Linked DNA regions of Oreochromis niloticus. The main gene of each other region encodes a partner of the protein of the gene in region 2 in a complex. Links are inferred from orthologs where the notes say so. Each region holds a gene or a part of one and is shown on either strand. Other genes may lie near its edges. The genes, in order: cdk2ap1, mta2, cdk2ap2 and chd5.

Evidence for each region.
Region 1: mta2 (region 2) and cdk2ap1 share a complex: the UniProt entries of both Homo sapiens proteins name them as parts of the nucleosome remodeling and deacetylase (NuRD) repressor complex. The link is inferred for Oreochromis niloticus from reciprocal best matches to the Homo sapiens genes MTA2 and CDK2AP1.
Region 3: mta2 (region 2) and cdk2ap2 share a complex: the UniProt entries of both Homo sapiens proteins name them as parts of the nucleosome remodeling and deacetylase (NuRD) repressor complex. The link is inferred for Oreochromis niloticus from reciprocal best matches to the Homo sapiens genes MTA2 and CDK2AP2.
Region 4: mta2 (region 2) and chd5 share a complex: the UniProt entries of both Homo sapiens proteins name them as parts of the nucleosome remodeling and deacetylase (NuRD) repressor complex. The link is inferred for Oreochromis niloticus from reciprocal best matches to the Homo sapiens genes MTA2 and CHD5.

What each region holds. Positions count from the first base shown.
Region 1 is NC_031972.2:11,489,426-11,496,933, forward strand, and holds the start of cdk2ap1 (cyclin-dependent kinase 2-associated protein 1), read left to right. Parts: upstream 1-4,496; 5' UTR 4,497-4,624; coding exon 4,625-4,691; intron 4,692-7,508. Other genes in the region: sbno1 (protein strawberry notch homolog 1), read left to right, coding at 1-42, 288-430. UniProt on the Homo sapiens protein: Inhibitor of cyclin-dependent kinase CDK2. Also acts as a component of the histone deacetylase NuRD complex which participates in the remodeling of chromatin.
Region 2 is NC_031967.2:3,171,844-3,179,058, reverse strand, and holds the start of mta2 (metastasis-associated protein MTA2), read left to right. Parts: upstream 1-4,198; 5' UTR 4,199-4,574; coding exon 4,575-4,602; intron 4,603-7,215. Other genes in the region: eml3 (echinoderm microtubule-associated protein-like 3), read left to right, coding at 245-333, 722-819, 1,811-1,898, 1,987-2,085, 2,192-2,322, 2,746-2,952. UniProt on the Homo sapiens protein: May function as a transcriptional coregulator. Acts as a component of the histone deacetylase NuRD complex which participates in the remodeling of chromatin.
Region 3 is NC_031971.2:21,309,307-21,316,391, forward strand, and holds the start of cdk2ap2 (cyclin-dependent kinase 2-associated protein 2), read right to left. Parts: upstream 3,005-7,085; 5' UTR 2,857-3,004; intron 1,909-2,856; 5' UTR 1,808-1,908; coding exon 1,753-1,807; intron 1,469-1,752; coding exon 1,377-1,468; intron 546-1,376; coding exon 425-545; intron 1-424. UniProt on the Homo sapiens protein: Acts as a component of the histone deacetylase NuRD complex which participates in the remodeling of chromatin.
Region 4 is NC_031970.2:11,663,430-11,670,943, reverse strand, and holds the start of chd5 (chromodomain-helicase-DNA-binding protein 5), read left to right. Parts: upstream 1-4,508; 5' UTR 4,509-5,161; coding exon 5,162-5,228; intron 5,229-7,514. Other genes in the region: rnf207a (RING finger protein 207), read right to left, coding at 595-720; rpl22 (large ribosomal subunit protein eL22), read left to right, coding at 719-730, 1,143-1,250, 1,530-1,654, 3,760-3,901. UniProt on the Homo sapiens protein: ATP-dependent chromatin-remodeling factor that binds DNA through histones and regulates gene transcription. May specifically recognize and bind trimethylated 'Lys-27' (H3K27me3) and non-methylated 'Lys-4' of histone H3.

The DNA.
Region 1 (7,508 bases), on a different chromosome or scaffold from region 2:
AGATTGTCCGGCTGAGAACCGAAGATGGGCAGAGGATAGTCGGTAAGTTAAGTGACTGCTGTACTAAAGAAGTTCATATTTTGGAAACTAGTCTCATTTTTTGGTAGAGTTGGCATCGCAGCGAAACTCCTGGTTTTATGTTTTGTGCCTTATTATTTAACAGACAGACATGTGACATGGTATTCTAACACTTAAGAGTTCCTTTTTAATTGCGGTCCTCTCAGATGTGTAGACACCCAGCTTATTCTCAGACCTTTTTTAAAATTTCTGTGTTGTTTTTAATGCAGGACTGATCATTCCGGCGAACTGTGTGTCTCCGTTAATTAACAAGCTCTCAACATCGGACCAGTGTCAGCAGCTGGCTGTGCAGGAGCAGCAGAAGCGGCAGCAGCTTCACCCTCAGAGTCTGAGCCACACACACCACACATAGTTTAGGGGCTTTAATCCCCATCTCTACCCCTTAAGTTCACATCCCTCCCTGAAGGGATCTCTCTACACTGCAGGCTCCAGGACCTTGTGCACAACCCTCACTGTTCCTGAGGGTCAGAGGTGTGGTACCAAGCTGTGGTGACACTCGGATGTAAAGCAGTGGTTGTATAGAGAAATGTTCTTTTTCTTACTCCCCCCCCCCCCAAAAAAAAAAATTGTAATCTCCAGAGACTCTTCCTTTCACCTGGAGATATTTGACAGGTGATGTATTTTCCTCTGACATTCAGAGTGAGAAGATTTGTGACTTTAAGAGAGCATGTTGATCTGAGTTATCCACTCCTCACTGATACTTTACCCTGTTTTACCCCAGAACCACCTCAGTATGAAACAGAGACTTTTTGTGGGTCTGGACCAAAAGTAGATGAAGCAAAATCTACGTTTTTTTCATAGTCAGAGGAAAGTCTCAGATGGGCATATAGTGCTTAACTACAATCACATATTAATGTATGCTAGAGACTCATTATATTAGATATTACCCAGCACTACTGCAGCGTAAGAATTTTTGTTTTTTTCTGAAGTAGAAAAAGTGATGCAGTTTACTGCAGGAAACCTTTTGCTTTTGGGGGGGCACTGTATCTGGCATATTTGCTCATGAGACGGTGAAGACCAAATATTCTTATTGTCAGGTTCCACTTCCTTCTAAAATCAGGCCAATTTCTGTTTTTGCTCATCTGTTTTTCACACAGGTCTCAGATTCCTCAAAGTTCCTTGGTTTGTTTTAATGTCTAACTTGAACATTTTGTTCCTTTTTGTCCATGTTGGAACTTGATCAGCCAGTTGTTTGTGAACGTGCCTTTGCGTGAGTACTTGGAGCTACAGCAGTTGGGCACCTTTACAAAGAAATGATTTGGTTATTTTTGCATCAGCTATCCTCTGACTTCTATCCATATATATATGGGGTGTTAAAATGTTAGAGATGATGAATATTAAGCGAACTGGGTATAATAAATACAATTTAGTCTTTATTAAAGTATTGAAACATTTAATAAATGGTTTATGGCCTTTATTGTAGCTACAAACATATGGTGTTAAGAGTTTATCTCCTCATGTGAGGGCATTTAACATTACTATACAGTGTTTCCCTTTACTATCAGAGGCTTTAAGGGGCAGGTGGTGAGAAAAATGCAGAGACCATAAATTACTGCATAGTGCAGTATAGACTCACACTGCACTGAAATGAAACAAAGCACATAAATTAGGCAACTGTAATGATTGTTTCAGTGTCATCATTTGTTCAGACGTGGCAGCATTTGAATGCTCACAAGAAGAAATATTGTAGACAAAAGTGCTAAATAATTAAAGCTACATTACAGTGCTGTGAATCAGTTGTTGAATGTTTACTTGATGCTTAAAAAATTTTTGGCAATAGAAAAATTTAGGTCACAGTTTGGGGTCGGGGAAAACTATTTAATATTGTACTCCTTTCCAATCCATTACAGCAGTTTTATTTCTTGACGTGGTCTTTAGCTGGCTGCTATTAAAACAGAGAAAATGGCAAAAAAATGGTTAGTTTTTAAAAAAGATAAAGGGTTCCTGAAAAATTGTGAAATGCATGTTGTTGACAACAGCCTTTTTCGTGTGTGCGTATGTTCAAGGTTTCACAGCAGTCTGCATCACTGTGTCCTTCTCAGTGTTTTTTTTTTTTTTTTTCTTTTGTTACTTTGATTTTTGATTTATTTTTTTTTTTTGTAAATATAAATCTGCTCAGGGGTTAAACTCATATGAAGACCCAAAACACAAGAGTTTTACAGTGTATCGCAAATGCATGATTAGAACTCAGTGGTCCTTGGACATCTTTGCTCAGTACAGTTGCTCTGTGTGTGTTTAGCTGTATTTACAGCTCGTATGTGTCAAACATCCAAACATGGTTCTCCAGTTTCTCTGCTTTCTTGAGCTTACTTGTAATTAAGGTCTGTTTGTTGTACAGTCCACTTTTTCTGTTGAGCCTGTACCACCTCAGTCATATGTTGCGTGATGCTCGACCTGCCCTGGAAGGGTCAGACCAAAGTCTGGATACGTGAGCTGTCCCAGTGGTGATAATTAAACGGAGGATGTGTTTGAATCCTAAACCTGTGGAGTGGTTACTGTTAGGTGGAACAAGAACAAATCTTTGTATCATTTGTACAGTTTGTAAAATGAGTCAAACTGAAATTGTTCATGCATCCTTTTTTTATTTTATTTTATTTTTTTTTTATGGTGGAGGGAGAACTTATTCATTAGAGCTTGCTCTCTAATTGGAAGTCTCATTTTAACTTGAATGTGCACCATGTACAGACCAACAACTCATGTTATTTTATCTTTTGGGCTGGTGGCTGACTTGGAAACTTTTTTTTTTTGTCTGTTAGTTTTTTTTTGTTTTTTTTTTAAATGCTGTCAAAATGTCATGGCAGATTTGGCTCATCTGAAGTTGAAACACTTGAAGGACTTAATTTTTTTTTTCCTTTCATTATCGCACGAGTTGCACTACTGACAAGAGTTGTACAAAAGTTCAAAATTACCTGTATATGACTGAGTGCAATGCTCAATAAAGCTTGGTATACTTCTACATTGTTGTGTGTTATAATACTAAAAAGCTACTTCATTACATTGCATATCTGGAGAATTCTATAGACTACAGTTACAGATGATTGGACTTGAATTCTTCCAGAAACATCAGTTAATCGTTTATCAAATAACAACAGCAACTAACAATTTGAGATGACAAGTGTGGTATGTTTGTTTTTTGTTTTTAATGCAGGCACTTTGTATTTTATTATTAAAGGCAGTAATGCCACTCTTAAAAGTACTCCTATAAAAAGTAAAAATACTGCATGTGAGAATGCTGCGAGGTGCTTACTCACTTTATTTATTCATTTATTTTGATGCTCAAAGTACAGCTCTGTGTAGTTCATAAGTGCAGAAAAAAAAGCATTATGCATGCATATTAAAAGTGTGAGGTGTATATGAGCATTTATAGCTCTATTACTTTAGGTGTTGCTAATAAACTGGCAACTAAGTATATAATGCCATTACATATAATTCCCATACACATAAGTTAATACAAAGTGCATTAAACAAAAGCATGGTGAAATACTCCCAGAAAGGCCGTTAAGATTTTTTTATGGAGCGATTCTCCAGCTCCTTAAAATGTCAGACTATTTAAGTTTTCTAAAATAATAATAATAAAAAAAATCTATAAAAACTGCTGTCTTCTAAACCTCAAGCTTTATATGGTTGTTTTATTGATAATTTATTGATATTGATAATGAGCTCCCACTGCTTGCATTGCGCCAAGATTGCAATTACCAAAATTAGAAACATTTATTTTGAAATGATTTAACACTAAACAGTGCATTTTTCACCCTGTTACGTGCGCCTTCTTTTGGGGGGGGGGGCACAGAGCGGGCAGGGGTCCGGGTCATGACCCTGAGAGCCACGATTGGACCACACTTTTGCCTTTGTGTGGCCAACCATGTGGCCAAAAGTACTGATGGGACATGAAGAACTGAAATGACTCCTGAGCACATTTTTGAAAAACTGAAGATAAAGTCTCCGAAATAAGAGCGCCTGCTTCCAACTCCAGTTACTTTTCTTTTTAGGTAAAAGCAGACGGCTATCAGTAGTAATGGATACGACCCCTCAGACAAAGACAGGTACGCTGGTGTTCTTTCATACTTTATCTTAACCAAAAAAAAAAAAAAAAAAAAATCTATTAAAAAATTTGGGTGAGTATAAAGTTTAACCTCAAATACATGTATCCACGTCTGGTTGCCTATTCTACTTTAAAAGTCTGGTTTCTCCTTCATAATGTTGTGTAAAAAATTTAAGTTTAAAACATCTAAACACATATCACGTTTAAACACTTTTTGTTAAAAAAGTCTTTTAAAAGTGTCGTTAAAGTAAACTCAGGGATAAAGGTTGGCAAATGTGCTTAAAATGCGTGTTAAAGCGTGCGCGAATTTGGTCGCTTTGTGGTGAAATGTGCTTCTTTTAACCGTTTTCTTGATAATCCGCAGTGGATAGTAGCAATGTTAAAAAGCACAGTGGGTGTCAATATAAAGTGACGGCCATATTTGCCGGTGCCGCTGTTGTAAACAAAAAGTGAGAGACAGACGCTTCACTGAATTTCGGGTCATTTTTATTTCTTTAATTTACAATGTCTTTGGGAATGTCTTACAAACCCAATGTCCATCAGCACATTCCGGGAACTTCTGGGAACCAGGGTAAGGAAAAAACGGCGGAGAAAATCAAAGTATCCGTCTGTTAAATCGAGTGTTAAATTCGGGGTCTCGGAGAATACCTGGAGAAAGACCGTGTCTGTAGTTTTTGTCCAGTTATATATATAGGGTCAGATCCTGGGAGCTAGGCTAATTCATATCCGCCATTATTACTAATGTAAAAGAGCGCCATCCGCGATACAAGTCGGCGAAGAAACACGGTGGGGATGTGAAAGGAGTCGGCGGCGGTTCCTACAGTGTCGATATCCGTCGTCCGGGGTCGCGGTCCCGCCGGGTGGGTGCCGTTACACGGTGACAAAAATGTATCACTTATGTCTTCTTGAGCCAGCCTTGTTCCGTTTCCTCCATGATGCTCCTCGGTCGGAGCTGCCGATTGATCTGCCTCGAATTTTTTTTATGTCTCTTCGAGGACATCTCGTGTTGGAGGTTGAATATTACAGGCGAACAAAGCGACAGGGGAGCGGTGATTATGGAGGTGCATGTGCGTGGATGGAAGTGTTCAGATCCCCAGTTTCTTTATGTTACCAGCCAAAACATAAAAAATACAAAAAATCAATCTGCTCAAAGTAAAGGTATCTGTTATATAGAGAAATGTATGGAAGTAGTGGGAAGAGTTAAGAATTAAAAGAAAGAAGAAGAAGGGAAAAAAACAATAGGAATTGTCGTTCCAAGTCAAGCTAACGGTGGTGTACAGATTGTAGGTATTTGGTAAAATTGTAATTCAAAAATTCTATTAGTAACAAGGGAAATAATTTCTATTTTTAGCACATGAATAAAGTGCAAAAAATGATTTTTTTTCCCTGACTGACATTCTCTTATGAGATTGTTAATATTGATGTTTCAGTGCTTTTGCAACATTTTACCCATTTTACTTCTACTTGCTTTACTTTAGTCCAGAGGTAATGGGTCCAGACAATGACAGATATATCTAAAGGTCAATCCTTTGTTTAAACTTAAATTTCATCTCCATTTTCATAAGACTATGGCATACCAAAGATGATATCACCTATGTCCAGCATAACAATTTTTAAGTAGTTTTTATAGCTTCATAAGCTGCTGATTAGCTTTATCTTTAATAGTACTGACTAAGTTTTTAGTAGGTTTATATTAATCTACTGTACTGTAGTCTTAAACCACCTATCATTTCTTTATATTTTGCTAGGAAAATGGGAAATGGATGTAGAGATTTATTGAATCATGTGCAAACATACACGGGAATACAGTATATAATGCAAAAAGAGAGTTTATATAATTCCAACAATCTCGAAAGTCGAAGCTTTGTTCTTCAACACAGCCTTAACTCTCATAGGAGCTAGGAACATAGGAACACTGCTTCAGAGTAAGGGGGGGTCAGACTGACTGTGTTCCAGTAAATGTTTTTGTATCCAGGTATGCTCTACTCCAGTGGCAGTGTGTTTGGGAACATTATCATGGTGAAAAATGAAACGTTTGCATAGTGGATCAAAATCTGACGGTACTTTTCTCCGTTCACAGTCCATTAATTTTGACAAGAGCCCCAACATCACTGGCTAAAATGCAGCCCCAAACCATGACAGAGCTTTCATCCTGTTTTATAGATGGCTGTAGCGCTCTCCTGACCTTCTCGGTACACAAACTAAAAATTTGAACTCCCTGTTGCTGGTGATTTTCAGCCCAGTTCTTGTGTAACTTGGCATACTTGAGCTTTTCCCCCCAGTTTCCCTTCCTTAAGAACAGCTTCTTGACAGCTACGCTTCAGCTGAGCCTGTTTCTGATGAGGCTTTGGTGAATAGTAGGTGGATCACCTGAAGGGCCAGATGCATCTCTCCTGTGACAGATTTTTTTTTTTTTTCCTTTTTCTTAAACACATGACATTCAGATAAGATAACCCAGGCCTAAAGATAGCTCTTTAGGCCTTTGCTCCACTTTTGTCCTCTAAGTTCTCCATATTGGTGTAAATATACTCTATTATACCTGACAAACTGTGTTATTGTTGGCATTTTTCATAGTCATCAAAGATGTTTACTTCTGCAGCAGGCTGCTGGTAAAAAAGTGCCTCAAGACAGAATTTAAATTGGTTCTTTGCTAAGTTCTCTGTCATGTAGTAACAAAACTCCTTGATAATTTAAGTTTTGTGCCTTTTTTCGCTGCTTGAGTGATTCATAGATCAGTGTTAGGTGGCTTCACAAAGAAAAAGAACATTCCTTTGAAGGTGATAAGGTACAACGACTGGACTGAACTTTAAACAACCTTCAAAGAGAAGTATTGTTCAAGATGACTTTCAAAAATGATAAAGTCTGTCTTCTTGGAAGAAAAGTATAAAGGAATTAGAAATTACTGCTAGAAAGAGAAATGACTGCAATGAAAAGCAAAGTTCACTGGCATACTCATCTCTTTTCTTCATGTCTGAGGTCACTGAATGGGTGGTTTGATAAAAGGTTTTGAGTGTGATGACAGTAACAAGCACTGCTGCTGTTGAAACTAGAAAATCACTTCACCCCCGCCTGGGCTCACTTTCTTGCGGCGTTGTACTTTTAATGTTTTCTGTGTGTGTGTGTGTTAGAGAGGAGATACTACACCTGTGAGAAGAATAAATGCTGCTTGTGGTGAATGCTGTAGCATATTTCATTCCCACACATGTTCCTAAAAACATTTTACAGTGTATGCATCTTTTCTTTAACTGTAATGTGAAACATACGCACTGTCAAGCCCTGCACCATCAGCATCACCTCCCTGCTGTTTCCCACAACACAAACACTGAAGAGCCTAACATGCTTCCTTTGTGAAACTGCTGACTATAAGAAAAAAAACGGCTTTACTGCT
Region 2 (7,215 bases):
CATCAGTATGGATACACTTCTTTATTAATCCTATGACAAACTGACAGAAATAGAAACGGACAAACAACACATAACGAAACTTAAGCTCCAAACTAAAAGAAAGGTTAGGAAGCATTGATCTGTGGCTTCCTGTACAGTAGATGGAGAATTTAGCCATGTGCATTCCAGTGTGTTCTTTTCTCTGACTCTCCACCTGTCTGCCTGTATCCTGCTGATCCTCCTCCACCCCCTGTAACACTGACAGGTGGATGGTCCTTGACCTGCTGACCAGGGAGGTAGTTTCTGAATCCACTGACGGGAATGAGCAGCTGTCTGTCATGAGATATTCACCAGGTCAGTCAGTAACTCCTCCTCCTATCTTAACTGTAGATGTGACAGATTAGGGTGGTGTTCACATCCAACCACGTGGTCATGGAGTTGGAGTTAATGATCTCCTTCACACAAAAAACATGCAGTAAACTTTGAGTTAAAGCTTAAAACTATTTTCACAGATAAAAGATTTTTTTCTTGTTTTGTTTTTTGTTTAAAATTTTCATTCTCCGAAGCCAAATAAATTATAGTCATAAAAAATGCGCAGTCATAGTTTATGAGTTATTTGTGCATTGATTTTGTTTATTTGCCAAAGTAGACAGAGAGACAGGAAACGAATAGAGAGGGTACCACGTACCAAAGTTTCACAGTGGGAATCCTCTTTGACTGTGAGGGACCGCTTGCTTTTCAGATGGCAGCTTCCTAGCTGTTGGATCACATGACAACTTCATCTACATCTACAGTGTGACAGAGAGTGGCAGGCGTTACACCCGCTTTGGAAAATGTAATGTGAGTTAAACTTTAAATTATTTCTTCTTGGTTAACATCTCCATCAAATATGAGCCTGCTCTAGTGCTGTATTTTCCTTCTTGTCAATAAATCTTGTGTACAGACTTCCATTGTTGTCCACATATTATTACAAATCACACTGATCAGTGGAATGACCGTTACCTTCACAGCACAGAATCAGCTTTAGTGAAGGTTACAAATGATCTTCTTATGGCCTCTGACAGTGGACTCATCTCTGTGTTAGACCTCAGTGCAGCGTTCGATACTTTTGACCACAATATTTTATAACAGCGATTAGAACATGCTGTAGGTATTACAGGTACTGCGCTGCAGTGGTTTGTATCATATCTATCTAATAGACTCCAGTTTGTGCATGTAAATGGAGAGTCCTCTTCACACACTGAGGTTAATTATGGTGTTCCACAGGGTTCAGTGCTAGGACCAATTCTGTTTACATTATACATGCTTCCCCTAGGCAGCATCATTAGAAGACATAGCATACATTTTCACTGCTATGCAGATGACAGTCAGCTCTGTCTGTCCATGAAGCCAGATAACACACACCAATTAGTTAAACTGCAGGAATGTCTTAGAGGCCATCCAGGTCTTTGTCTTTAACTTTCTGCTTATAAATTCAGATCAAACTGAGGATATTGTACTCGGCCCTGAAAATTGTAGCAGTATGCTATCTAACATCTGTTAAAAATAGTTCATGTATTTGTTACTTTTAGGCTGGTCCACTGTAATTTCTTATTGCTATTATTATACTCATGCTAGACATTAGAAAGAATGCCGTTTAAATGCACTTGAACATTAACTTCACTTTTAATGACCTGGAAATCTTTCATATGCAACGTGTGGTATGGAGCTTGCAAACACGGAGATTAATGCCAAAGACGTTTATGGAGTTTTCTGATGAAAATCCAGAATAAAAGCTTTGCTTGCTTTAGCTAATATGACTGACACTCTGTCTGCTTATCTGTTCGATCAGGGCCACTCCAGCTTCATCACTCACCTGGACTGGTCCAAAGATGGGAAGTACATCATGTCAAATTCAGGCGACTATGAGATCCTTTACTGTAAGTGAACATCCAGCACTGTGCTTTTAGTGCTGTTATAGGAATGCCATGCAGTACGTTCTTTAGCTTAGTGACTGTGTTTTAACAGGGGACATAGCAGCAGGATGTAAGCTGCTGAGGAACCGCTTTGAGAGCAAAGACAGAGAATGGGCCTCTTATACCTGTGTGCTAGGCTTCCACGTGATGGGTGAGAAACTCCAAGCAAAATGCTGTTGTCCTCCTTTAGCATTGCATTAACGTCATGGAGTTCTTTTATCCAATCAGACTGATGAGTGTGGTACTGTGGTGTTCAGGTGTGTGGCTGGAAGGCTCTGACGGCACAGACATCAACGCGCTGTGTCGCTCCCACAACGAGAAGATGGTGGCTGTGGCTGATGATTTCTGTAAGGTTCATCTGTTCCAGTACCCCTGTCCTAAACTCAAGGTAACTATTTTCTTTTTTAAATAAGAACCAAATGATGAAAGTGAGCCAGTTTTAAGAGTTAGAAACAGTTAAACCGTTTGCCAAAGTCAGTCCAGCTCAAGCAGATCAGATAACCCACGTTAACGGTTTTGTACACAGTTGTATTCGTTCATTAAAGCAGTGTTCAGATGACACACGGATTGATTTAATAAGCTGCTCAGTTTTCAAGAGCAGGTCACATCTTCTAAGACCCTGAGCCCGCTGTGTTTGTAGTGCTGTCACTACAGTTGTGGGACATTCAGTCCAGATTCAGCATTAACAGTAGGAACCTTGTAGAAAGGTGTTTATCCTAGTCTGGAAAGACAAATTGGGGGGCGGGGGACTGGGATATGATGGGCCTTCCTCTGCGCTGACCCAAAGTGGACCTGCTTCTTTTCTCTTCAGGCACCAAGCCACAAGTACGAGGGCCACGGCAGCCACGTCACCAACGTCTGCTTCACTCACAGTGACTCTCACCTGCTCTCCATTGGCGGGAAGGACACTTGCATCCTTCAGTGGAAGGTGATTGGAGGTGGGGTGGGTAACAGCCAGGAAAGACTGGCCTCGGCCTCATCCACCTCTACCAGCTCTCCAGAACCTGCAACCAGCTAGGGAGACGGCTGCTTATAAGAGTGAGGGAAAGCAGGCTGTTTTCTTACAGCCGCAGAGGCATCGAAGTGAGTTATGGGCTCAGTATATCCTCTGGACTGACACTGCTGCTAGTTTCATGCAGAACATCCTCTTCAGGAGGAACATCCATGTTAATGTTATGCTTTAAATCCTTGTGAAACTGGACAGTGTGTGTGATGTTTCCCATAAGACAGAATCCTCGTCATTCTGTTGTGTATGTGGTGAGAACTGTTCTTGTTTGATTGCTGGTGCAGAACAGTGCTGCACTGCCATAGTGCCTGTGCACGTGATTTTATACATGTTTTAAACAAGGTTTGGTTAAAATCTCAACTTTTTATATGCTTAGACTGTGACAGGCCTGTCCCATTAAAATCAACTCAGCATCTCTTACTAATTCATTTCTCTAACAGTAGATCAGTACACTTGAAAATTATTACTTTAGTGCAGTTTTGTATGTATTTAAATGAACGTCGGCAATACTGTGATGTCGTATCAGCTGAGCTCCAAATAAATGAGAGAAGACTCAGAGGTGTGTTGTGTGTGAAGTGTCACTAGTGGGCAGTGCCACTCCAGAACCTGTGAGTGTGTTCCTAAATAACAGGTCTCAGGTGAGAACACTTAGGACTGAAGTCTCAACAAATGTGTTTTCATTGAAGACAGCAGTAAAGTCTGTGGTGCCCTCCGGTTGGGATGCAGTAAAGGTACATGGTTTAAGGTGGAAAATATAAAATTAATTGAATAAAATGAATTCAATCATTAACTGCCTTTAGGTGTGATGCTTCAGTAAACTGATTTGCTCTCCAACACTGCCATCTATTGCACTACCAGCAGCCTGTACAAGAAAAACATAACTGTTTATAATACTTGTATCTCCTTTTTAACAGCTTCCGTCCATTCAAAATTTGACCTATTTGGGGCACATTTGCTGCCATCATTACACTGACTGGTCTGTATATTCTCTGAATTTGCAATATTAAAGCCTGTGTTTGTGTGTAAATCTTGTAAATAAGCGTTTGTTTCCGGTAAGCATCCTGCGACACTTTTTAAACTACAAGCAGTAAAGTAAGTTTAGCGTGTCGTTCATTTCATAAAACAGACGGTCTGTGTCACTAAACCAGCGCCGGTGAACAAGTTGACTGTGAGACGTCGGTGATTGTCGACAAAATCCGAAGTTGACGATTTGTACACGAGCGGGGGGGGGGGGGGCTGTGTGTGTGTGTGTGTGTGTTTGTCTCTGTGTGTGCGCGCGCGCTGAACTGAGCGGAGGTGAAGAAGAGGAGGATGAAGCTGGGAGCGGAGGATGGGAGGAAGAGTGGAGTAAGAGACAGGCTAGCTGTATGTGAATAAGTGAGTGAAGAAGAGGAGAGGAAGGTCGCCAGAGAGAGAAAATATAAACTTCTATTTTTGGAGATAATTGCCGGAGCGTCGCCAGCGGAAACTTTCAACTTTTTACCCGCCACTGCTCTCTTGTTGTACCCAGAGCCGGCTTTGTTTCGCGGCGGGGGTGTTGACGATAAATGAAGGAATAAAATAGACTCCCATCGACCTGTTTCTACCCAAGCGGGGAATACCCTGGGACTGCTTCTGATAAAGGTTACGAGAGAATGGCGGCCAACATGTACCGAGTGGGAGGTAAGGAATGGTTTACATTTTTAAGACACCCCTTCAACGTGATTGTTCGCTTCTACTGGGAGCTGGCTAACTAGCCGCTAGCTGTCTCTGCTGTTAGCAGCTAGCTAAAGCTAGCGTACGCTGCGCGACTCCGGGCTTTCATCAAGACCGTCAGATCTGCCGAAACAATGTAGTATGACTTAGCTTACAGACAGACGTAAATAACTTCACATTGATTTGGTTTCCACACAGCTGTAGCCAGGTAGAGCTGCTTCTGTGTTCGGACTATAATAATACAATACATTGAGCAGTGTATATTTGTTTTAAAGTTCAACTTTCAGAACAGATCTGTGTTATATCCCAGTTAGTTCACGCCATCATAGTACCGTACCACAGGGCGGCCGTCGCACAGCATGAACCGGTTCTGAAAGTTTGTATTTATATAAATCCATCCAGCCAGCTGGATCCAGGAGATCCAAACATATGTGGTGGTTATAGATAAGCGAAATAACAGTAAATTGTCCAATTCTCTGACGTGTAGTCTATACATTTGATAACGTCCTCAAAATGAACACAATGCTAGCTAGCATTAGCTGCTGGCTGTTGAGAAGTAAGCATCTAGCTAAATTTGGTGACGTCTGTGATGGCTTGCTAACACCGCTCTGCTAGCTGTGTCAGGCTGGTAGGTTAATTTCATTATCGCCTCCGCCATATCACTAGATGTGCTAATTCTGGCTGCTAAGTCCTGTTAGCTTGGCGTAATAGCGGTACTACCAGAGCTTAGTTAAAATTGTGTTAAGAATTTAGTTTACAGACTGTGGACAGTTATATTGGAACACCTGCAAGTGAACGACTGAATTTGTACCAAGTTAAGTGGTAATAAGTCGTTAAGTTCTCGTTTGTTAAAAATGTTTTATCAGTACTTCATGACTGCAAAGGAAACTGGTATGTCGGCGGTATTAATCAGGTAATTAGTCATTAATATTATCTTTCGCAGCCCCCCGCGACACCAGTGGCAGGCATTTATAAGATGCAGTTCATTTGGAGTTTGCTTTGCACCGTCAGAAAATAAACTAAACTATGGTTCATACAAAGCAAGCTGCTGTTTTCTACTGTTAGTTTTCCAGTCGGATCATCTGGACAGTTGATTCTGGGCTTCAGTGTTGATTGTGAAACATTTTCAGTGCTAAGCCTCGGAGACGGTGCTAGCTACGGGTGGACTGAAAATCTTTGAGTGGGGGGAAGGCTAATCGCAGTCTCACGAGTGTGTGGGGTATTTAGGTCATAGCGATTAAACTATGCTCTGCAAAACATGCTGCATATTTCTGCGCTTAATGTTTGAACAGTTAAAGTGGGGTTTTTTTTCCCCATTAACTTCTTATCACTTACCCGCAAAAATACACACACTTACGTGTGTTTTTGTGTGTGTGTATGTTGCATATTATTGCCGGTTTCTCTCCTCTGACTTCAGCAGTGCAGTTTCATGGATCCACGTATGTTGCTGCTAAAACACTTGACCATTCGGCTTTAGGATCACTGCTATTGTAGCTACTATTTGTGGAGAGATGTGCAGGGTTTTATTTTTGTTGAGAGCAACAGAGCGCTATGTGGAAGGAGAGCCAATTTAGAAATATCATCTAGAAAATTGTAGTAATTTTGTAAGGTGGGTTCCTAGACAAAAACCTATTGTTTGGAGCTAATTATTGGAATTTATAGAAGAGATAAAGCATCAGAAGACAAAGCTTGGCACTGATCATGCACTAGCTAAAGAGAATTGTTGACGAAGGTTTATATGGAAAATTGTCAGAAAATTAAGTGTGAAAATCAAGTGTTGATTTGAGTCACATTTGAACAAAGATGAAGTTTTCTTTCCTCAGGATGAGAATTTTTTTCTTTTACAATACTGTGTCATACGTTCTATATGTTACACATTGACAAACGTGCTTCCATCACTTTGTGGTTTGACTGTAGAGGGGCTGGAAGAGCTGCTGGATCTGTCCCAGCCACCTTGCTGGATCAAGTTTGTGCAGGGAAATAAAGGCAATAGTGTGATGCCACATACAGTGCTGCATCAATGAGCCATAAACCCAGGAACAGGATTTTTCATTGGCAAAGACTATTAAATGCATCATTATGTGTATTTTAAATCAATTATAGGGTAAAAATAAACACCTGTACAGTTGTATTTAAAAACTAAAAACTTCAGTTTAAGAGTTCAGTTTTTCTTGTCACTGAGGCTTTATAATATTTTGCATCTGGTGAACTGATCCAGCCAGCAGGGACCTTTCTGTGTGGGTACTTACTGAGTTACCCACTCTGTGATTCTAAACTGGCTGTAGCTGTGGATTGTTGTCTGTCTCTGTATTAAGCTGGTTTCATGGTCCCGCACGTATCTGTTCACATACACAATCTAGATTGGAACTACTGAATGTTGACTGGTTGACAAGTGGGCCGGAATAGAGAAGGGAGCAAAGTTTACAGGAAACGGGAGAATGGAGAAAAACGCTCCGACGGTGGTTGCAGTGACACTTTTGTTTTTGTTTCACTTCAGCTTTTTGTATGTCAGAACTTTTCTTTTCTCAGCGTGTGGCTGAAGGACATGGATTCATGGACAGTGAATAAGGCACTTTTACG
Region 3 (7,085 bases), on a different chromosome or scaffold from region 2:
GCATGTATGCAACTCAGTTTCACTAAATTCTTCACTGTGCCCCACACTTTGAGAAATGTGTCTTAATGGATAACTGACTGTGATTAGTTATTCCAGCTTTCATGGGGGGCTTTACCTGGCAACTTTCTTATAAATGTGGATATTGGGCTTTAAGTCTTCAGCTGGAGTCGGAGACAATTTTTTTATATAAAAGGATAATAACAGAGCACTGTTACTGCAGCAAGTAAATAACCATTTTCAGAATAAGCTGTGTGAAATCCACATGCACCAAAGAGCTAAGAAAAGTGAAAAGTTCACCAGTCTTCCTCTGATTTGCATAATAGATGCATTAAAAAAAAACTTTCCCCCCCCCAAAAAAACGCAACAACAACAACAACAATGATCTGAATCCTACTGATATGCACTTTTGACTACTAAAACATACCTCTCTTTAGCCTCTCCATAGCGCTCTTGCTCCCTGCGTATGTGGGCCTGATCTCACGGCTCATCTCCTCAATGACAGACAGGAGCTCACTGTAGGTGGACCCTTGGGACACTTTCACAGGCTGTTTGGGAAAGTAGTAAAAAACGTTAGTCATTTCACAGTTCCACATACACGCCAGACATGAATGAAAAATGTAGATTTTTTTTCTTTTTAAGAATGAGATGAAAAATATGTCAGTTTGTTTTTTACAGCAGATGTAACGATGATGAAGTAATTATAACACTGCAATGATGTAGTATTGTAGTGTTTAAGTATTCACTGCCTCATCTAACAATAATGTAAATGTCCCCATGTCCTCTCAGAACTCTTTTGAAATCAAGTTCCTTTCAGTGGTTTCAATTTATGCTAATGAAACATGCTTCAGTCAAACAGTAACCACCTTCCACTGCCAACAATATTTACTGTACTTAATCAATATAGCACTAATAACTAGTGCAGAAAGGCACATTTTTTTCTACGACCTTATAGTGACTTTACTGATAGACATTTCTATAGTATCTTCTTGTATGTTGTTGTAACGCTTTAACTTAACTTACTTAAACTTAACTGTTTAACTCCTAATGCTTCTCTTTTTGCTGGATGTATGGGAACAAAAACAAACTTCTGTGCAGCTTCAAATAAAGGAAAATGACCTTTTATCACACCTTTTAGAAATAATTCAGCAATAGCAAAGAGGTGAATTTAATCAACCCCAGGCTGGGACATGAGTGTGAAAAGTATGTGAATACACAAGTTTTTTTTTTAGTTTATTTACTCAGTTAAGGGCTAGTATTGACATAAGCAGAGTGGTTGAAAATCCATGTTTGGTGACCTATGCTTCAGTAAAAATATGACAACTCTTTACTAAAGCAGTCTGTATTCAAGTATCAGAGCAATTAAATTGTTGTTGTACCTGAACAAAGCCCATGGAGGGCGGGCCAAAGTCACTGAAGGCTGGCCTGAAGTTGGACGACGATGGAAGAGATGGAGAGGGCACAGAAGACCCTGGCCAGAGGAAGAGAAGAGAAGAGAGAGAACACATTAAAGGCTGAACCTAAAACACAAGCAATTTTGTTTCAAATGTAAAATATTAAAAAATAGTTTACCAATACAATTGTGCTGTATTGTTAATGACTGATAAAATATTGTGTGGGGCAGCACTGGTTTATGAAGGCAATGGGACTGTTGACCATAGTCACAGTGTGAACTGTTTCATACATACACACCACAAGAAACTGACAACATGCTAATAACGGCACTGCACAACATTAAAGCTGGTCCTAAAGTACCTGGTGGAGTGTGGTTGGAGCCAGATGGTGCAGGAGCAATGGGTTTGTAACTCATGGCGATTTCAGCAGGCAGCTCCCCGTACGACGTGCCGCTTCCTTCGGTCCCGTCAACCCGATACTTATACAGCTTTACAGGTGATGATGAGCTCCTAAGAGCTAATGCATAAAGATAGACAGAAACACAAATGCAATTCAATCCATGAATAGAAGGAAGCAAAGGAAGTTGTGAATCACAATAATCAGGAATCACCATCAACAACAGTCGGTGAGGAAATCAGCACAATAGACCTTTATTTAACAGCAGTAGCAAGACTTGTCGGCCTGGATGTGTTTGGGAGCAACGCAAACATTTTTAATGTAAAACTGGAGCACGTTTGCCTTAGGTCACACATTACACAACAAAATGTATGACCTGTCAGTGGAAACGTTTCTCATTCAGGTTGCTTTTGCAGCAGAGAGATGAGAAAACCGACAGGAAACCAAGGTCCTCACTGCGGACATTTTATATTCTGTGCTTGCACTGTATGGGAAAGTACATTAAATCTTCCTATTCAGTCAGAAAACAACAAGTGCCATTAAAAACATACCCATGCTCGTGATAACCACATGGGCCCTCTCAGGTCATCTAAGAGTCCGCTGGACTCTAATTTAACAATTTGCAGCAAAAACATCGTAATTACAATACAAGTTCCCTAATCTGTCAATGGTACTCTGACTGGAGAGAACCATAGCTTAATATCAGACTACACTGAATGTGTCAACCTGTGAAATGTACTTGTTTTGTGTTTTACGCCGACTCTAATGAAGCTTTTCATAGGCTGGGTGTGTGTGAATGTGGTCACTCAAAGTCGCACGAGCGGAGCTCAGAGGTGCTCAATGAAACAAAAGCTGACGTTAGCATTTACATAAAGCTGCCAAGCTAACTACTACTTGGTTAGCCGGATTAGCTAGCTTTTGCCGGTTACCACAAAAACATAAGTAAACCCCAACCAAACAGGCCTGCCGTTTACATTCTAATACAGACAGTGAATATTAATAGCGTTAAACTAAACTTGTGACCACCGATGACACCCGAAACGATACAAAAAAGTGGCAATTTTGTACCTTTTTAAGGAGACGTGAAATCCTCTGTGGGACGCGAGCTCCGACTCTTCCTCAGTGACTGAGTCTGCGCAGACGAGGTAGTGGGCTGTTGGTTTTTTTAATCTTTACAGCGATTTGATTGGTCGGTTTACATGTGACATATGTCCTAAATGTTTTCATCACCAGAAACTACTACCGCGCCAAACCCGCGTCATACGTAGCGAAAATGAAAATACGAACGCTGAAACAAATGGAAGATATAGTTATATATAAATACATTACGATATTTAGGAGAGAAATTCTTTCCCATTTACATAATAATTAAAAAGTCTGGAAGAACTTTTAGACTTTGAAACATTGCTGAATAGTTAATATGAAATGGGAACATTTTACTCCTTGATGTACCTTCGTTTTTCTATTTTCACTCCCATATTTTATATTTGAATATATAATTGCTTAACTTGATTGAATGCTTTACTCATGATACAATTTTGTTCCCATTGATAGATTAATACATAGCTAATGTTTTTCTTACAATTACAAAATACAATTCATGCCAGGGCATCATATTTCAGATAGATAGATAATCAAGGCTGAGAAGGTCTGGACATGTGCAGAGCAGGAATAAAGGATATACTGGACAAAGGATGTTGAAGGAGAAAAAGGGAACGATCAGAGGGTTGATGTGACAGAGAAGAATGCAAGGGACAGGGTGAGATGGAGCCAGTTGAGCCGCAGCAGTGACCCCTTAAGGGGAGCAGCCAAAGAAGAAGAATAGGATCACAAAAGATGTCATTTTTGAAGTGCTTCAGCATGTTTTCCTGTAGTAAAGTACCAACATTCGAGTTTAAATAAACTGAGCTGAGCTTATGATAACTGTATGATGTTAAGTTTTGATGTTGATGATGTTAAGTCCTAATATGCTGTAATAGTTCTCAGATAAACTCAGTGGAATAAAAAAAAAGATACAAATATTCCCTCTGAAATATGGGAGTTGGAGCATGAAGTCAGAATACTAAGGTAAACTACAAGGACCTTAAAAGAGGTATAATAATTCATCAGGTTATTTATTTAATTTACATTACCTGAGGTGGTGGAACTATTTGAGTTTAGCATACAGATTTGGCCTCATCTGCTACAAAAGAGTGAACAGACAACTATGATTTTGTGGAGATGCACTGTCATCATGCCCCTGCTGTAACATTTTGACCCTCTGAAGTACTGGAACCAAACACTGCAGCACAGTGCTCTTGCTCTTGACGAAGGCGGTCGCACTTTTCTCCTCTCCTCCTCCTCCTCTCCCTTAGCTTCCCTGCTTAGCCTCTTGTGTCCTTGTCTAGTCTCGTGTTTTTTGTATTACTTTTCCCTAGAACACTCTCTCATAGTCTGTTCTCTAAAACCTAAAAGAGAATTATGGATTTGATCAACTGGTCTCTGAATGCAATTGACACCCCTTTCTCAACGAGAAGTTTGGGCTTGGGTGAGCCTGAGTGCTGAAGATAGCTACCTATTCGGAACCATCTCGGCAGATATCTACCTATTCGGAACCATGGTAACAGGGTTCTGGCTGATTGGAGCTGGCTTGTCCCTGACTTACCGGAGAACTAAGGAAGCGGAACCGGCTGTTCAAACAGCAAGGCCGCCCGCTGGGATTGAAACGATGGGAAGAGGCGTGAGTTTCTCAAAATGGGCTCATTGAGTGCAGCATGGATAAGATCTTAGAAAGGCTTACGGCTGCCGTGAATACTCAGAATAAGATCTCTGAGTGCAGACTGGATTACATCTCGGAAGGGCTCGCTCGGCACAACATCTCTGAGCGTAAATTGGATGACATCTCGGGGAGGCACACTGTCGTGAGTTCTCAGAATCGGCTCTTTGGGCACAAGAATGACAACATCACAGAGCGCAAGTATGGCGAAGCTCGCGGCTCTCCAACGGGAGATTGAGAGACCAGTGTTGGACTGTAGAACTGCTTGGAAATTCATATGAGCTGTTCGCACTAAAGTAAAAAGCACCATCACTCATACAGATACCCCTTCGGCGCCAGCTGCGGTTGCAAGGCTGGAGCTGAACAACAACACCCTGATAACGACTGTGTTTTGACTGTTCTTCCCTTTCTATGCAAGGCCACCTGGGTTGGCTGGAAGACTGTTTACTTAGCCTGGCAGGGCGAAGGACACTGTCTCAGCTGAACTCTGGACATACACACACACACACACAGACATATATACACATGCAGACATACACTCATCCCCCCTCCAAACGCCTTCGACGCTTATTCCCTTCCGATGCTGACGGTGGATCAAGGAGACCAGCGCATAGGCTGCAGGCCCGGATGTACTGTCTACACTGGCTGTCTCTCACCCTTTACCCACCCCTGTTGCTTGTCATGTGTTTCTTTGGTGTATTAAGAGTTTTTTTCATGTGCTATGTGCAGAGGTGTTTTTTTTCTGTTCTCAAACTGATCTCCCTGTTGGAGCTCAGTCTGGGGGGAGTTATTTTTTTCTCCTTATCTTTCCTCATGTGGTGCATTTTCCATTGTTATACCTCTCTGACCTGTCTTCCCCATGTGATGTTTGTGTAATGTATGTATGGTCGGAGGGTAAGATGGTGCCGCCATTGCGTGCAATAGGTCGGCAGGCTTATGAAATTTCCCCTTGTGGGACTAATAAAGGCATATCATATCATATCATATCACAAAAAAACCCATTTGCACTTCTGTATCATTACATTTTGGCACAGGTGGGAGATGTAATTATGGATGGAAAAGAGATCACTTTAACCTGCTCCAAATAACTCACCTATCATCTTAATTGCTGTTTTGACAATGCACTTATTTGCAGTGTGAAAATGATTTTTGCTAATTTGCAGCAAGGCTTTACTGTCTGCATGTAATGACAGACATTACTTTAGTATCCTTACAAAAATTTGCACACTGTGTAAATTGTAAAAAGAAAACACAAAATAATTATTTGCTAATTAGTAACATTTTGAATGTATCCGAAAACACAAAGTACCAAGACAACATTGCAAATGTTGAAACCTTGTATTTTCTTGCTTTTTGAAAAAGATTTTTTAATTTAATGGCACCAACACCTTTCCAGAAGGCTGGGAGCATTGTGTTGCATTGCGCTGCATCTCATCTTTTTTTTAACAACGCTGTAACCCTTTCAGAACTGAAAGGATCAATTACTGTTATTTTGAAAAGAAAGAGAATTGTTTTTCCATTCTTGCTTGATACGCAGTACTGTTCAGCTTCTGAGCAGCGCCTCTGTGACATATTTTTCAAATCATAGGTGTTTTGCTGAAACACGCAACACCAATAAAAAAATGCTGTCTAGATTGCAGTATATCTGGGTGCAAACTCTTAAGGCTACATATACAGGAATATGAAAAAGAAAGTGTCTAAAATACTTTATCCAGTCCTGTTAAAAACTAAGTACACATTTACTTCTTTCCATAGGAAGTAAGTGCATAAGTAGCAGCTAGGTGCCGATAATCAAATTCACTTGATTAATTGATCATCAACAAGTATGACCAGCTCTGTCAAAGCAGAAGTTTGGGCAGTTTGATGACAACAATGTCAGTCATATTTATCATATTTATTTGTTCCCATTGGTCACTTTGGATTGATGCCTGTGACAGAAGTCTCTTCCTGTCTAATGAGGGTTCTTCCTCCTTAATATCGCCGCCTTTCTACTGCTTAGAGGGGATCATCTAATCCTAGGGCGGGCAATACATTTTCCCAAGTGGCCACATGTGAACGTCGAACTGTTGTGAAGGGCTGCACCAATAAGCTGAAGTTAATTCAGCTCGCTATTAAATTTATCTCTTTGTAAGCTTATCGGAGTTGCCCTCCACAACAGTCCCAGGAAATATTGATTGGCCACCAATGATCTGTAGAGTTCTGTCTTATACGGTGGGTCTTTAACTTGCTATTTCATGCATTTTAATGAGACTTCCTCTGTGAAGTGGAACTGTGGAAATAAAAACTAAATTTTAATTTAAATCTTTGTTAAACTAATTGTGTTAGATTTATAGGCCTCATCAGGACTCACGATTTCTGTGTTTAATAATTATTTATTTAATATATTATTTAAGATGGTCCTTTCTTGGCTATCAGCAAAGACAGTTACTATGAAAAAACATTCTCACTGTTGTGTTGTCTCTCATGTACATTTCAATTGTAATATGACGTTTATAATTCTTTTTCTTTATGACGCATCTGTTTTTTTTCATGCTTTCTAAGG
Region 4 (7,514 bases), on a different chromosome or scaffold from region 2:
ACCTTTGAAGGTATATTGATAACCTGCATAACACTATTACATTACTATTACTATTTATAATATAATAATAATAATGGTAGAATATCTTTTATTATTTTCTTTTATAATTCATTATGCTAGTTAGGTTATTACATATGTGTTTGATGTTATTCAACTTTTCTAAAAAAATGTATCTTTCCCTTTTAAAACCTATAATACTTAACTACGCACCTAACAGGAAGCTGTGTAGCTAAGTGCTAGGGTAGCGTCTCGCAGCCATCTTGAAATGCACTTTTCTGGGCAGCTATTTTAAAAAAAAATATCAAAATTAAAACATTTTTAAAAATAAATATAGTATTATTATTTTTTACTTGGCCCAACATCAAGGTTTTAAAACCCCCATTAAATCTACAAGTTATACTTTATATTAAACATTTTAGCCACGTTTCTGCTGATCCAGGAATTTTATAGTTGTAAGTGCAATAATCTCTCTATGTCTGGTTCCACTCCAGCTGACAAACTACTGATTCGCGTCTTTGTTCGCGTCTGAACAACTTTGTTCGCGTCTGAACAAAGTTAACATTTAGTGCAAGTGGCATAAACAATTTCTCGTACCTTCTTTTTTCTATGTAGTGCGACATAATCGAGTCTAGAAAAGTCGATGCGATCGATTTTGCGGCCGGCTCTTATATTTCCCGTGCAGCCTTTGCTCCTTCCCTTTTCGCTGAATTTGTCAGCCATGGCTCCGATTGTGAGTAGTAACACGACCAAATAAAAGTGCACACAGGCCACTTATTTTAGCTTGTCTTTCCATTTATAGACGTGTATATACGTGTGCACAGTAATATAGAAGAAACGAGTGTTCACGCGCGATTTTGTTTGCCTTTTTTAACGTTTCGTCTCAAACCACGTTTTGCTAACTGTTAGCGTAAGCTAGCAGCGATCGACGTGAGGGTTAACAGGGTGCATGTAAACAGTTGTTCGTGGTTTTTGCAACATTCTTTTACGATATTTACTTAAAATGCTAGTATAAAATGTCTGGAACACATTGAACACGCTGTGACTAACCGCTAATAAAGATATCTGAACACTATTGCTGCTTCCTTACGCTTCGCTTTGGGGTTTTTCCGAGTTTAAGCAACTTTCTCCATTTGTGTTAGAAGAGGCAGGTGGTTAAGAAGCCGGGTGGGAAGAAGAAGAAGCAGATCCTGAAGTTCACCCTGGACTGCACCCACCCTGTTGAGGATGGCATCATGGATGCTGCCAACTTCGTGAGTAGATCACCTCTGACAGAAATGACATCTTGTCTGGTAATCAGTGCAGCAGCTGTCAGACACAAATGCTCTGTGTCAGACACTACTGTCAAATAAGGGGCATCAATCAAAGCCCTGTATTAAGGTTCCAGTCAGTTGATATTAAAAGAAAAGAGAGAGGGAAAAAAAGACGGATGTCAGTCATATGTTCATAAGAAACTGATCTGTACGTTCATAAAGAGGCCTTCATTTCTGGTGCTTGCTGTGTGTGACTTGCTGTGTCCTCTGCACATGCAGGAGCAGTTCCTGCAGGAGCGCATCAAGGTGAACGGCAAAGCTGGAAATCTTGGTGGTGGTGTGGTGTCCATTGAGAGGAGCAAGAGTAAAATTGCTGTGAACTCTGAAGTTCCCTTCTCAAAGAGGTAAATAAAAGAAAAACAGTGCAACTATGTCATATTGTATTATTTGACTGGTCATAGTCATTTGCCATTATACCAGCAACCCTCAGTAAATGCTTTGCACAGTGCTTGCTACAAGGCCTAAAAAGACAAATGTTAAGTTTAAAGAAAATCTCTGTTGTTTGTGTGGAATAGAGAAGTATGCAGAATCCTGTTGAATATAATTTTGAGGGAAATGAAACGCATTTGACATTTCAGCCACAGTAATATTGTAATAGACTTAATGAGCAAACATGAGAAGACTCCAAACAAATATGGCTGTGTTTGGTTGTCACTTACACAGTGGTTGCAAAATTTTACTGATACTCAGCCTGAATGTGTCTTCTGACTGATCATGCTGTCTTTGTGGTTTCCCACTTATTTGAGAGCTTGTGATCTGATGTTTTTTCCAGTTGCAGCGCAAGTACATTTATCCAGTATTACATGAGCTGGTTTCACACAAGTGTGGCAATAAATACTCTGGACAGATACACCACTAGAGAGTATCTACCTTATGTGAGAAGCCAAGAAATCTCATAAAAATGCTTAAAAAACAAAAGATTTTTAGGGATCAGATAAGTTCATCATTGCTTGCCACATCGTGCAACAAGGTCCTGCTGCATCCTAATATGGGCATAACATCAAGTTTGATGTGTGTAGACATAACAATAAAAACTGACTGAATTGTAGGCTATGACACACAACTATGGTCTCTTCCTATGGTGTGTCATCTTAATGTGTACTCATGCTGCCCCAACTGCACAGTATTTTCTTCTATGCTTGAATTCATTACCTTTTTCACAAATTTTACTGCCACCTTTTTCTTTTGTGTGTGAAATTGTCATTGATCAGTGCCTAATTTCGTGTTGCATTCCTGTTGGTTGATTTAACAAAAAAAGAGGTAGGTTGTAGCATAAATTTTGTAAGGTCAGTACACACTAAGGTGTCGTTGTGTGTCAGGTACAGAAAGCAAAGTAGAATATTTATTTTTTGACCATAATGTGTACATTCTGTGTCTACAGTACCTACAGTACTAAGAAAATACAAATACCGTGTATTTAGAATGTTGGTATTGAAAGGTACCATAAGTATCGATTCTGGTGACATGTGCCTACTGTGGAGGTCTCGTCCTCTGGCAGTCAGTTCTGAAGAAACATGCCTGCTGCTTAAAGGTTCTTCTGTGAACACATGAAACAGTCTAAACACAATGAGTTTCAGAATTATTGTATTAATTGTGGATTTGTCTGAAGTTTTGTGAATATTTTAAAAAACCAAAACTAATATCTAAAAGTGAGATCTATTTGAATTTCGATTCAGATTTATTTATATAGCGCCAAATTACAACAACAGTTGCCTCAAGCACCTTCGAAACACAGATGTTATTGTGAAGTGTAGTGCTTAATGTAACTGATTAGAGTGGCACAGCCAAAATGGTTATCTTGTTATCTCGTTATATATATTTATTAGGCTGTAGCCACCACTTAATAATGATTCTAATGTTCTATTTGGACAATAAACAGTATTAACTATATAATAACCTAGATATAATAATGGTATATGTATTATACATCTGATCATTAAAGTACTTGAACTCCTTTTTAAAATTGGCTGTAGCAAAGTTGCAAAACATACATATGCCCAGCTAATCCACATGTTTTAAATGTTGGGTTATGTGGGCCTGTGTGCATTTCTGGAACTTTCCCTAACAACCTTTATGTCCACTTCATACTGTAATTGTTCAGTAAATTTTAAACACCACCACCAGAGGGGGACTGTGGCACTCTCAGTCTTAAATGAAGCATTTGATATAACCAGTGGAGATCTCCTAGGTTAGAGCTGATGCTAAAGCAAATTCATTTTGTGATCCCCACTTTTCTGCTGGTCACGTTTATGGCAAAAACCACACAGAGCTGTTTTTTGTGCATCTGGGCTACTGAGAGTTTTAACTGTTGTACGTCGTGTTTAACGATTTCTACACCTTAATATAAATCTAGAAAAACAGCAGGATTTTGCTGCTTTTCGGTACATAAATTGTGAAATTTAAGGGCAGATTGACTCACACTCTTTCTGCTCTCTGCTTCCATTTTCAGGTACTTGAAGTATCTTACCAAGAAGTATCTGAAAAAGAACAACCTCAGGGACTGGCTGCGGGTGGTAGCTAACACCAAGGAGAGCTATGAGCTGCGCTACTTCCAGATCAACCAGGATGAGGAGGAAGAGGACGAAGATTAAACCTTACGCCACTCTTAATAAAATACTTCGAGAGAAAACCCTTGATGGTCTTGTGTTTTATTTGGAAACATTTGGTTTGATTATGTTATCTGGATCCCACACAGACGATAAAAACAGAGATATGAACATGTGACTGTACACTCTGATTTCATTTAGCGTTTTTCAAAAATAATCCTCGATATTTAGATGCATGATGACAACTTTAATTGCATATAAATCTGTAATTTTTAGATTTAGGAATGTTTTCTGGTTCTTTATTCTGATGTGGGATGGTGTTTTTTTTTTTTGTCATCTGGTTATAAAAAGGTTTATTTGCATTGTGTGATTGCCCCCCATCCCCCCCTAAAGTCCTGCAGCATGTGGGATGAGCTGGGACTCTCAGCCTTTCATTTGTATATTTTGATAAAAGATAAAGTGACGCTGAAGCTGATACTTCCTCTGCTCAGCTCTCTGTGGGGCATCCTGTGATACAGCTGTGGTAACCTTGACAACAGTTAGACCACTGGCAGTCAGGACTCCTCACAGCTTGCAGTCATCAGCCTGCACTTGTGTGTGTTTTGTCAGGACAGTGTGGACGCTTGCAAGATGAAATCGAGTCAGGTGGTTGTTAGTTGGGGGTTTTATGCCTTAATTGACGTCTAAATCAACCAAAGCGTCCGTATACACAAACGGTTTGGCTTCAAAATAGAAAGCAGTGCTGTGTTTCCACCTGCAGACACACTTTGAAGTGGAGCTTGTGAGTGAATAGAGCAGCAGCTGTGCGAGAAAGTGGGAGAAGTTTCTGTCTCAATTCTCCGGACTTCCAAAAGGAAATGGACAGGCGCGGGGAGTGCATCCGTCTATTAGCAGCACACGGCGCACGATGTGCATTTTTTTGCACGCTACTAGTTGAAGTGGTAACTAGGAGAGTATGACTAACTAGTTGTGGGTGAAATTATGGGATGCATCGTCATGGCAACAGACCAGACGTCACAATCTGGGCATGTGTGTTCCATTTTTGTCTTTCTTATTTTTCAGACTGGAAGACCTGGATAGAGATCATTGGAAAATATATATATTTTTTAAAAAATTATTTTTTTTATTTTACTCTTGGAGAGAAAGCCCCATGTTCGTTGCACAGAAATAAAAAAAAAATCTTACATTTTTCACAGCGACGAATACTATTCTTTTTGGGTGAAGAAAGAGACTGTGCTGCGGCGTCTGGAGGGTTAACTTTCAGTATTCCCAGCCTAAAAGGGGTTTGGGGGCTATGAGATAAAGATGCCGGGGTCGCTGAGCAATGAAGACGAGGGACAAGACGACATGGATTTTGAAGACGATATACCAGGTGAGGGAAAGGGGAGAGGCGGGGTGTCCTTCAGATAATTTTGCGCCGCTACGCCTTGAATGCGGGGAAAAGGGCTTGTCCTGCGTTCCTGAGACCGGAGAGGAGGGGTGGGGTGCAATAAGCAGAGTCATGCTATTATTTTTTTGGACGACCTACAGTCTTAAAGGTGGCAAAGGGTTGTAGGTTTTTTTTTTAATCTCTCCCCCCACAGCTGTCCTCACATTCATCCTGATTTGGGGGCACGATGGAAACGCTGCTGCATGGTTTCTGTGGGCTGCCTTTTCTTTCACAGGCTGCATGCGTGTACAAGTGAATGGCTTTGAGTCCAAACACAAGTTTTGTTCAGAGAGCTGTTAAAAAAAACCCGTACTTTGCTCGTTTCCGTGTCAGTGTGTGCATTGGCGATTTTCTGTCCCTTTTTAGCTCGTGGATGTGCTCTTTTGTGGAAAAAAAGAAGGGGGGCTCCGGTGACAATGTGCGTGTTCATTTTGTGGATGATGCGCTGCCGTTAGCGCTCGTGATTAGGAAGCTGTTTCAACTTTAATTCTTTTTTCTCCCACTGCATGGCCGCAGAGGTGTGAAAGCCACGTGTGGGCTACAGTAAACAGAGCTTATCAAGTGTGCTCCTTTGCCTTGCGCGCTGATGACACCGGTTAGGTCACCGGCAGCCCTTCAGCTCTGGGTCGTGCGCGAACTGGAATTAACTCTAACCCACATTCTCTGCGTGCTGCTAATTCATTTCACATGGCAACTTCATACAAGAGAACCTGTGCAATAACATTCTCCAGGCTGAAAAATGAACATGTCATCAACTCTGGCAGTGAACCAGCTTTCAGTGCTCTTACAGTTTCCTCCCTTTTTTTTAAAAAAATGGTCAAGATCAAATCAAGTCACAGGGGGTTTTAAGATTCCCTAATTAATGACCATGCACAAGAAGATACTTGCCAAATTTTGGCCATTTTGTTTTCTTTTGGCTGGTAAGTTTGTTAGGTTTTCTGGCAGGTGTCAATCCTAGGGCACAGGGGAATCCCAGTCTTAGTTTTTTTGGCAGGCATGGCTGTGCTTACTTGTGACATTTACTCAAATTGCTAACTGTGTGGTCCATAATGTACACCAAGGAGCAGGCATCAGAATCTTCATCTGCGTAACACAAACCCAGTTCTGAACTGCTAATGATTGGTTTCTTGATCTAGTGATGCAGCAGCTCAGGTGATGAAGTGCCCTCTTGTTGCAGCCTGCTGAGCTGAATCCAGACATAAGATTGTCCCGTGCAGCCATTGAAGTTCCTTTTATTTTAAAGTTCTTATAGCTTGCTCCAAACATCAGATGGTTGATGTCAAGGGCAAGATTTAAAAGATCCTGCTTTGCCCTCTGCTTCACTTTCACATTACCATGTGGAAAATGTTTGTGGTTGTAAAATACACTCCAAAGCCAAAAACAAAAGTCAGAAAGGTCGGAAAGTAAGAGCCCTGCTTTGGATCAGAGAGCTAGTTTCAGTGAAGTCAAATCACCCCCCAAAAATGAGGTCAGCTGACTCCCTCAATATACTGAATGACCAGGTTTTTCCATCAGTGGTTTGTGTTCTTCCCTGATAACAAAGACATTTTCCTGGATGACAGTACCAGGATTCATTGGGTTAAAACTGAAAGAGCGATTCAATGAGCACGAGACATCATTTTCCAACAGGGACTGGCCACCGCAGAGTACAGACTTTAACCCCTCTAAGAATCTTTGGGATTTGCTAGAGAAGATTTTAGCAGACTGTCAAGCCCATCGCCAATACAAGGCATGAAAGTAACACAGCTCTAGGTGGAAATAGGTGTTGTGACATTGCATAAGCTTATTGAAATGATGCCTTGATGAATGCTGGCCATGATCAAAGCTCAAGGTGCTCAAATGAAATATGTGAGTGTGTGACTGCTTTTTATTGGCCGGTCAGTGTAGATTCAGCATGAAATGAAGCTTCTAAAATCCAATGCAATGTTTTCTCCAGCAGCAGGCCCTCCTCGTCTTAAGTGTTGCTCAAATAATGCAGTGATGCGGAATATAGAATACATGTGAAAGAAGGCACAAGACGTTTTATTTATTAAATATCTTGCTGGTGTGTCTGTTGCATTGGTATTAGGTATTGCTCGTTACAGAGTGACGAAAAGCCATTTACTGGGACACTACTTCGGTGGTTTAATTGTGAGCAGTTGTCACAGTACTGAGTTGCCAAATTACAATCCTTGCTCATTTCGCATGTGTGTTATAAAGCTCTTGAACATCTGAGGCTTTGAAGTGCTG